Nothobranchius furzeri: one gene and its partner. The protein of the gene in region 2 interacts with the protein of the main gene of each other region in a pairwise test. Links are inferred from orthologs where the notes say so. Each region holds a gene or a part of one and is shown on either strand. Other genes may lie near its edges.

What was found.
Region 1: the proteins of txndc5 (region 2) and gmppb interact in a two-hybrid assay, tested with the Homo sapiens proteins (2 studies listed by BioGRID and IntAct). The two-hybrid records come from large-scale screens. The link is inferred for Nothobranchius furzeri from reciprocal best matches to the Homo sapiens genes TXNDC5 and GMPPB.

What each region holds. Positions count from the first base shown.
Region 1 is NC_091743.1:68,662,915-68,666,732, forward strand, and holds part of gmppb (mannose-1-phosphate guanylyltransferase catalytic subunit beta), read right to left. Parts: intron 3,193-3,818; coding exon 3,144-3,192; intron 2,724-3,143; coding exon 2,581-2,723; intron 2,066-2,580; coding exon 1,907-2,065; intron 1,763-1,906; coding exon 1,684-1,762; intron 835-1,683; coding exon 707-834; intron 617-706; coding exon 434-616; intron 182-433; coding exon 50-181; 3' UTR 1-49. UniProt on the Homo sapiens protein: Catalytic subunit of the GMPPA-GMPPB mannose-1-phosphate guanylyltransferase complex. Catalyzes the formation of GDP-mannose, an essential precursor of glycan moieties of glycoproteins and glycolipids. Can catalyze the reverse reaction in vitro.
Region 2 is NC_091747.1:42,291,785-42,296,380, forward strand, and holds the start of txndc5 (thioredoxin domain-containing protein 5), read right to left. Parts: upstream 3,033-4,596; 5' UTR 2,990-3,032; coding exon 2,805-2,989; intron 1,556-2,804; coding exon 1,403-1,555; intron 617-1,402; coding exon 511-616; intron 416-510; coding exon 319-415; intron 1-318. UniProt on the Homo sapiens protein: Protein disulfide isomerase of the endoplasmic reticulum lumen involved in the formation of disulfide bonds in proteins. Can reduce insulin disulfide bonds.

The DNA of each region.
Region 1 (3,818 bases), on a different chromosome or scaffold from region 2:
GGCGTTCAGTTTATAAAATTATCTTTGATATTTCTTTTCTCTCCCGATGCTACATGATGATTCGTGGCTCTGGTACCGATTCATTGATGGATTTATGAGGCAGGACGTTGGCGCCGTTCAGGTAAAGCTCATCGTTCACAATCACGTCCTCCCCCAGCACCGTCACGTTCTCCATACGCACCTTAAAACAGAGACATAAAACCGTCATCACTTCTAAACACAAACACAACAAGATCCTAGGTTTTACAAGTAAACACATGTCCTGCTCACGACTTCCTGTCACCCAGCTGCTAAAAAACAACAATGATGCTTTATTCAGACTCCAGTTTAAAAAGATGACCTGGGAATACCTGGACTTCTTCGGGGTCTTGAACCAGTGAACCAGGCCAACACATGAATTATAATCTGATCCACGTGAAGGAAGTTTACTCACCCACTGACCAACGGAGGAGCTCCATCCCACGATGCAGCTCTCCAACCAAGAGTGGGACCGAACCCTCGATCCTTTCAGCACCGTGCACCGTTTTATCCTCACCCCATCCTCGATGACCACACCGGCACCGATGGTGACGTTGGGCCCGATGGAGCAGTTCTCCCCGATCTGCGCCGACGGGTCCTTCACAGGAAAAATGAGGACAGACGCTACACATCACCACAGGTATCGTTTTTTGTTTTTTCCTCTATATGGTCAAAAAGCCGAACTGACCACCAGGACGTTGCCAAGGAAACCAGGCCCTGTATGAAGCCTCTCAGGAGCATGTAGCCGTAGCGACTGGAGGTACATACACATTCCTGTGAGGAAATCTTTCGGCTGACCGATGTCCATCCAGAAACCTAAGGTGCAGACGGAACAACAGCCCGACAGTCAAAAGCTGTTACCATGGAAACAACCAGGTTTCAACAGATAATCTCCACCAGGCAAATTACCGACCAGCAACAGGACTTTATGGCTTCTATAGGAAATTCAGCTAAATACACATGAATAAAAGCTCAACTCTGTGGTTTGGATGTATATGAATAAGCTGTGTTTTTTTTTATTTATTGAAAAAAAAATAAAAATAAAAAATCAAACATTTAAAGGAACCAACTACTGCTCATAAACCTCAGGATGTGACGTAGGGCATTATGGCAGGTAAAACTTTCAGATTAAATCCGGAACAGGAAATTCTGGTTTATCTACTGGGGGGGGGGGGGGGGTTACTGCTCAGGAAGGAGGATGTACAGAAGCACCAGAATCCCTCCAGTCATCTTTTCCTGATAAAAATCGACTCATCTGCAAATCTAGTTCTGTCTTTTTAAACACATCAGTGCTTCTCTACATGCAGAAGCTGAACTAAATGAGTTTGGATGTGAGGAAAGACCCAAACACTTACGTCTGGTGGAGCTGGGAGCTGCTGAGACCAGAATGAGCAAAACGTGTCAGCTTCCAACAAGACCTTCCTTTGAACTGAAGCCACTGAGTGTGTCTTTAGTTTAACTACAGAGACTTCTAGAAAATGAATCTAGGATCAATTTAATTTTCTTTGCATCAAAAACAGACTGAACTTTCCAAGCTACATTTGTACTTTTTTCTGTTTGCTCTTTTCTTGCTCTAAGTTCCAACCGTTGGTTGTCTGTTACAGGACTGGTATGTCGAGAGCTTCAGCTCTGAGCTGAATAAACCAAAGCGTATTTAATAGTTACCCTGCAGCTCCATGGTGTACAGCTGACCCTCTTCTGCCATGATGGGAAATATTTCCTTCTCGATGGATGTCGGTCTGAGCTGCACACAAACACAAAAAAGCAGGCCATAAATAACAAAGAACAACAACTAAATCTGTGTTTAAATATCCAAACGTATCTATTCTGCTGCTTAACTTTACATGATAAAAACAACAGTAACGTCAGTATAGCGAGTGAGCTTCACCTGGATTCTGCTAAGCACGCTGGGATTGAAGATGTACATGCCAGCGTTAATCTTGTTGGAGACGAAGACCTGCGGCTTCTCGACGAAGCGCTGAATCCTCCCACTGTCGGACTCATATACCACCACACCGTACTTGGAGGGCTCCTCCACTCGCGTCACCTTCAAACAAACACACACCCAGGTTAAAATCAGCAGATCGACTCACAAAGACATTAGGGCCTTTTGTTTTTACGTTTTAAATAAAAACATTTGATGAAATTCCCAATATCAACTACAGCCACCAGGGGGCAGCAACATCAAAACAAATTAAAAGATTTTTTCTACTTTAACATAGTTTGTTTGCAGGGTGGGTACTGAATTTGCAACGTGTGTGTGTGTGTGTGTGTGTGTGTGTGTGTGTGTGTGTGTGTGTGTGTGTGTGTGTGTGTGTGTGTGTGTGTGTGTGTGTGTGTGTGTGTCATTAGCTACTCAATGAAAGAAAAAGGTCAAATAAATCGTTTCGCATCAGCTGAAGTTCTAAGGCATCAATCACGTGGCTCTACAAGCATGAGATTTTAAATCATGTAAATAAATGTTGAGTCTGACGAGACCTTCTGCTCCTGGATGTTTTCTACCTATTTTAGCCTGATAAACCAGAAATCACATCTTTAACCTCTACAAAGTCTGCATCGTACCACGATGGTTCCCTCCTTGCCGTGGTTCTGGTGGAACTGCAGCAGATCTTTGAAGGGAAAATCACAGATGACATCAGAGTTGAGGACAAAGAATGGCTCGTTATCGACGTTCAGCAGGTCTCGAGCCAATGCCAGGGGTCCCGCTGAGCAGAAACAGACAAATTTTCTTAGTTAAATTCAGAAGATTTATTAAAATGTTGAACCAAGTCTAAATGGATTTAAAACAGGAAATCTGAGATGATGTTTTACTTTTATTTTTGTTTGATCTTAATCTTAAATTACAGAGGAGCTCCCTCTTCCTTTCAAACTTGAGATTTTTAGCAATTCATTCATGAAATGACTCATTTATCCAGCGCCGGAGCATCTCTGCTTATAATCAAACTCTTGGTAACATTTCCAGGCTCATTTTTGTTTTGTTTTAATCCACGGATGATAAAACTATTCCAGTGTTCTGGAATTATTTTGGTGAAATAAATTACCTGGAGTCTCTAGACCAGTTTTAAAAGATCCTGGACACAACACTCAAGATTATTTTTGGTTTTGTCTGGAGACGAGACACTCACCGGTTCCCAGAGGCTCCTTCTCATGAGACAGAGAGATAAGAATCCCAAGCTGAGGAGAGAAGAGTGAAACAATCAGGATGAAAAAAACTGACGCCAATATTAACTTCTTCCGGCTCTTGTAGAGTGCAGACGCTTTTTTCCTCCTCTCCTCCCTATCTTACCCTCAAGGCTCTTTGTCTGTCTTTGGGTGCACGGCTGCTTCTGCATTTTTTCTGGAAACTGAAATTACTAAAATGGATATTGTCAGTTGGTCATTTAACGCGATTGATAAAATTTTTAAATTTACGCCATTATTGGGATTTTGAGGGGTTAAGGCCCAACGGAACTTTAAGACAGAGAGGAAATTATCTCTGTCTGGCCCCAAAACAATTTCTAATCTGAATCTGGTGCCCTTGAGCGTGTAAGGCTGCAACGAATACTCCCCCCTCAGAAGAAATGAGGAATGCTACCATCGCTATGGCAACTCTGTCTCCTATCCCAGCCTGGGCGGGACTGCGGGCTGTGAAGGCCGCCGAATCGTTCCAGGAGTCACTGTGCCCTCGAAACCTCAACAACCTCCTGTCCAGACTGAGGTGACGTGTGCTGCTTATCGTGGCTGCAGGAACTGATGTGAGGAGAGTCCCAAACCCACAACCCCACCTAGTGGACACTTATGTTGTGTGATGTCTGAAGTCT
Region 2 (4,596 bases):
CAAGAAAGCTAAACATTCAGCTCCAGAGGAGCGTAACTGTAACTCCACTGAGACACTTGTTGTGAAAGCTGTTAATTTTCAGAGTCAACATGTCAGAGCCCAGAAAGCTGAGGTGAAGACACACATGACTGTCACAGGTGGTTCATGTGGACACACCTTCTCGATCGTGTCGGTTATTCAAATGAAGTGTTTCCATTCTCTAGTGGAGATGCAGAAACAGGACCTGAGTGTGACTGAAAACTGAAAATTCATTCAAATATGGGACAAAAGCGAAACTCCTGTTGTTTCAGCAGGTGCATACACAAATAAGATCCTCACCTTTAGAGATGTGCTCCTTAAAGTTGCCGGCAGTGAGCTCATACAGGCCCTGTTTGGGCTCGGGGGCTTTTGGAGGCTCCAGCTCACTCTCTGGTTCCTTTAGGGCATCCAACAAAAAACATGAGGAACATTCCTGGTTGTAAAACACATGTTTGGAGATTTGAGCTGATTAATGAGTAAAACAAGACTCACTGAAGGCTCCTCCTGGAGTGTCTTTAGCATCCACGTCTCCAAAGACTGCAGATCTCTGGGACCTTGATACTTTACAGCTTCATGCTCTGGCTTAAACAATTTTAACCTACATTTAAAAACAGACCAGAAGAAAAGGTGAGACTATTTAAGGAAAGAGTAACTGATTCGGTTCAGTAAGTTCTGGAGAATCACAAGAAAAGTCAATCATTCATGGTGTTTGAATGAAGTCAGCAACAAGAAAGGAGAACGGGCTGTTAAGATAGCAGATATGTAAACTAATTATGTTGATCTTTAATTAAAACTATGACCTGTCCACAATCTGACAGGCTTTTAACCTGAGCAGTTATCCCTTATTCCCTTATTTAATGAAGACTTTCTGAATGTTTATTTTTACTGTGATAAAGAACAGTAACAAACATGGGCTCACAATTACTGAATCTTAGCTTTACTGTGGGAGGATTTACCAACTCCTGATTGTTAGTAGACCTGATGTGACCAAACAAACAGGTAAAGTAGTCATTTTAAAGGCTAAGTTGAAAATATTTTGCATGCATTGTGGCCTGAAGTTCATGAATAATAAAAAGTTTATTCCTTTTGTGATGATCCATAAGTTTAGCAGCTTCCAGTAAAACAGCCACTGCTCTGTGTTTATGGACCATCAGATATGGATCAGAATCAGAAACAACTTTATTTTCATTGCCCCAGCTTCCTGGAGCATAACAATGTGTCTCTGCAAGACAGCCTGACCAAGATTAGACACACAGACATGTAGAACAAAAACAGATACAGGCAGGCATTAGTTCTGTCTACACTGGCACTGTGTGTGTGTGTGTGTGTGTGTGTGTGTGTGTGTGTGTGTGCGTGTGGCTGCAGACATAACCCAGTTACTTACGTGGGATAGCCTCTAACGCCGTGCACATTGGAGCAAAACTTGGTGTCCTGGACACAGTCTACCTTTACCACATATACTGGGGGGTCGTTCATACTGTTGTACTTGTCTGCCAGTTCATTCCATGTAGGCTGGAGTCGCTGGCAATGGCCGCACCTGGAAACGGTAGTAAACACTGAAATCTCACTCTGTTGAAAACCTCAACAGATTACACTTTAGCTGAAGTATGAACTGTCTGATGATGCATTGTGCAAACCTGTGAGAACTCGGACCCGTTAAATGGAATTCATTTGGAAATGACATGATCTGTGAGATTTGTGGATCAAAAATGTTGTTTGCAGCTGTGTAAATTTCTTATTGACCTGTACACTAAATGCAGCCACCCACATTAACCCTGGTCGCCAGAAAAAGTTACCCTTTGCCATCTTAAACTTGACCTAATGATGCAACACTACTGTCTTGGACAGTTGCATAGGTCGGGACTTTTCTGAATTACGGTTTTGCATTTCATGGACAATACTGGATACACTGCTGACAACGCTGCAACACAAAACAACCTGTAACTCATTCACAGAAGATGCAAAAATGATGCAAAACACTGGCTATACCTTTATTAAATGTTAGTTCATAGTTGGTACTCTTCTGGTGGCCGTGCTCAGAGCATCAGGACGTTTACAGCGTTCGACATAAATCCTCTTTAGGTCTCTACACTCAGAACGTTCACCAATTTCTACTTCAGGTAAGACCATGATCAGTAATTAGTAGTTCACAAATTTTACAAAGGAAAATGTGTTGACATTAGTAAAAGAATGAAGTGTGTTTTTCTAAATTGTGTCAAAAACCACATAATAATGCAACAATTTACAGTTTGGGATGAAGAGACAAATCAAATAACAGTGATATAAACTTCTACCTACACTAGTTACAGCTCTTTATTGTGAAGGGCCTTTGGGGGCCGTGGACCACAAATTGAAACCAATGACATAACGGGTCAATCAGCGCGTGCCACGTAAGCGTAACTTCCACTTTAATTTTGTGCTCGTATCTCTTAATATTTCTACCCAAAGCAAAAAGTTTGCACAAAAGCTGTTTGAATAAATACCGAACACAACTAAAAATACACAAAAGCTTCCAGAAATAGCACCTAAACAACACACAGAAGTTGCTAATACTCGGCTAAGCTAGTTAGCAGCGAGGCTAACCGGACTGGTTGACTTTAAAGGGATTTAGGTAACCACCTAGCTTACATGCTAATTAGCCAGTTTGCCGGTAAGCTCGTTTAGCAGTGTTGTACGATCTGTGTTGTGGTTTTTCGTGCTTAGATACATCGCTTAAAACACATTAATGCTATCTTCAATGATTTCAAGAAACGTCATTTTAAATAAACCTAATGTTGGTCACTTACCATGGAGCGTAAAACATGACAAAGTGAGGTGCAGTGGGCACCGCCTCGTTAAACATCTCCACCGTGTACGTGTGCTTGGCGTGCTCATCTTCTTCTGCTTCCCCATCGCAAAACACACCAGCAAACAGTAAGGACAAATAAAGAAAACACTTTAAAACAGGTTTACAGTTCGATGTAGCAGCCATGGTGGATGTCGCTAAAAGTGATGCGCGTCCCCGCCGGTGTAGAGGGCTGACTTTTGAACAGACACGCCCCCTTAGAGCCTAAGTTTAAAGCTATAAACAGTCTAGATGAGTTGTATGTACTGTGGTCGTCGGTGTGCGTACAATCAATATGTTGTGAAGATCTACGGTCACATGAAGACCCTAGTTTCTGTGGTTCTGGATGACAAGTTCAAACAAATCTGTTATAAAAATGTCAGTTTTCATCAGTAAAGAAAAGTTCAATCACTCTTGATGAAGATTATTTAACAAAATGAAGATTAGCTCCAAAAATAAATGTGTGTGCTGTACAAAATCTTTGCCAGTGCAATGAAACCCTATTGTGAATTATAAAACATTAGGATTAAACTAAGAGATGAGGCATGCATGGCCTTTTCCCCACCATTTCCAATGTTGTGATCAACATCCAGAATGTAGACAGGCCATGAAAAATAATGCAAAAATATTTTTGGAATTAAAAGAAAAGCACTGACATAATTCATAAAAATATTACAAATATTAATTTCTTCTAATACCTTAGTTTTTCACTTTGTAAACACTTCCTCATCTTACAAGAGTCAGACTATACTGGATACAAGAACAAACCTCCCAAGGCAGCCTTTTGCAATGGTGCCATTTTATTCGGCAACAAATGTCAAGTATTTTTTTTTTAACTTGATTTCATTCTGTTACACTTGTGCACCTAAGATAATGTCACACAGTGAAATTTGATTTCCATCCTCTGGCTTGTAAGACAAAATTAAGTTAGAAACAAACACAATATATTAAACAAAACACTGAATAAAACTAGGCAATATAATAAAAAATAATCAAACAGCAGTCTGTCAAACAACAGATGGAAAAATGTAAAATAAATTGAGACAGTTTAGCCTGTCTAATTTAGAAAACAACAGTATAAGCTAAAAAAGGTGAAAATGAGAAAAATGTGTAAAATTATGAGCAATAAAATTATTTCAAAGACTTTAAGCTTTTATTAGGAGTCTATGTACAAACTTGAGTTAGGACTGAGGGCTGCTGTTAAACATTTTCACTCCTCTAGACACAGACAAGCCTGTGGTTTTCCAGAGAGAGGAAGTGGTGGGTTGCCTGTGCCTGAGTGATCAGTCTGGTGGTTCTGGCTGCAGAAATGTAGCATCTCTCTGATGGAAGCTGCACAGCTTGTGTTGTGGGTGGTTAGAGTCCTTGATGATGCGGTTGGTCCTCCTGAGCGCTACTGATGCACTCCAGAACAGAGAAGGCTACCTGTTGGTTTTTTCTTATGTTGTTTTGACCATACCACTTTATTTATATGGCACATTTAAAATACAGCGTGAGAGCTGACCAAAGTGCTGCACAGTGACCAATTGTTATGGAGCCTTGTGACCTCATACTGAACTGCTCCCATGCAAAAATTGATAGAAGATACTCTCAGGTGTGCTTGTTGGTAAAAAGGCTCGGCATCTCAAATTTCCTTTTCAGAAAACAAAAATGCTCATTGGTCACTGATGCTGGGGAACCAAGAGTGTTCTATCAATGTCTGGAAACAAAAAAAGGTAGAGCCGCATGTGCGGAACTCTGATTCACGTACTTAA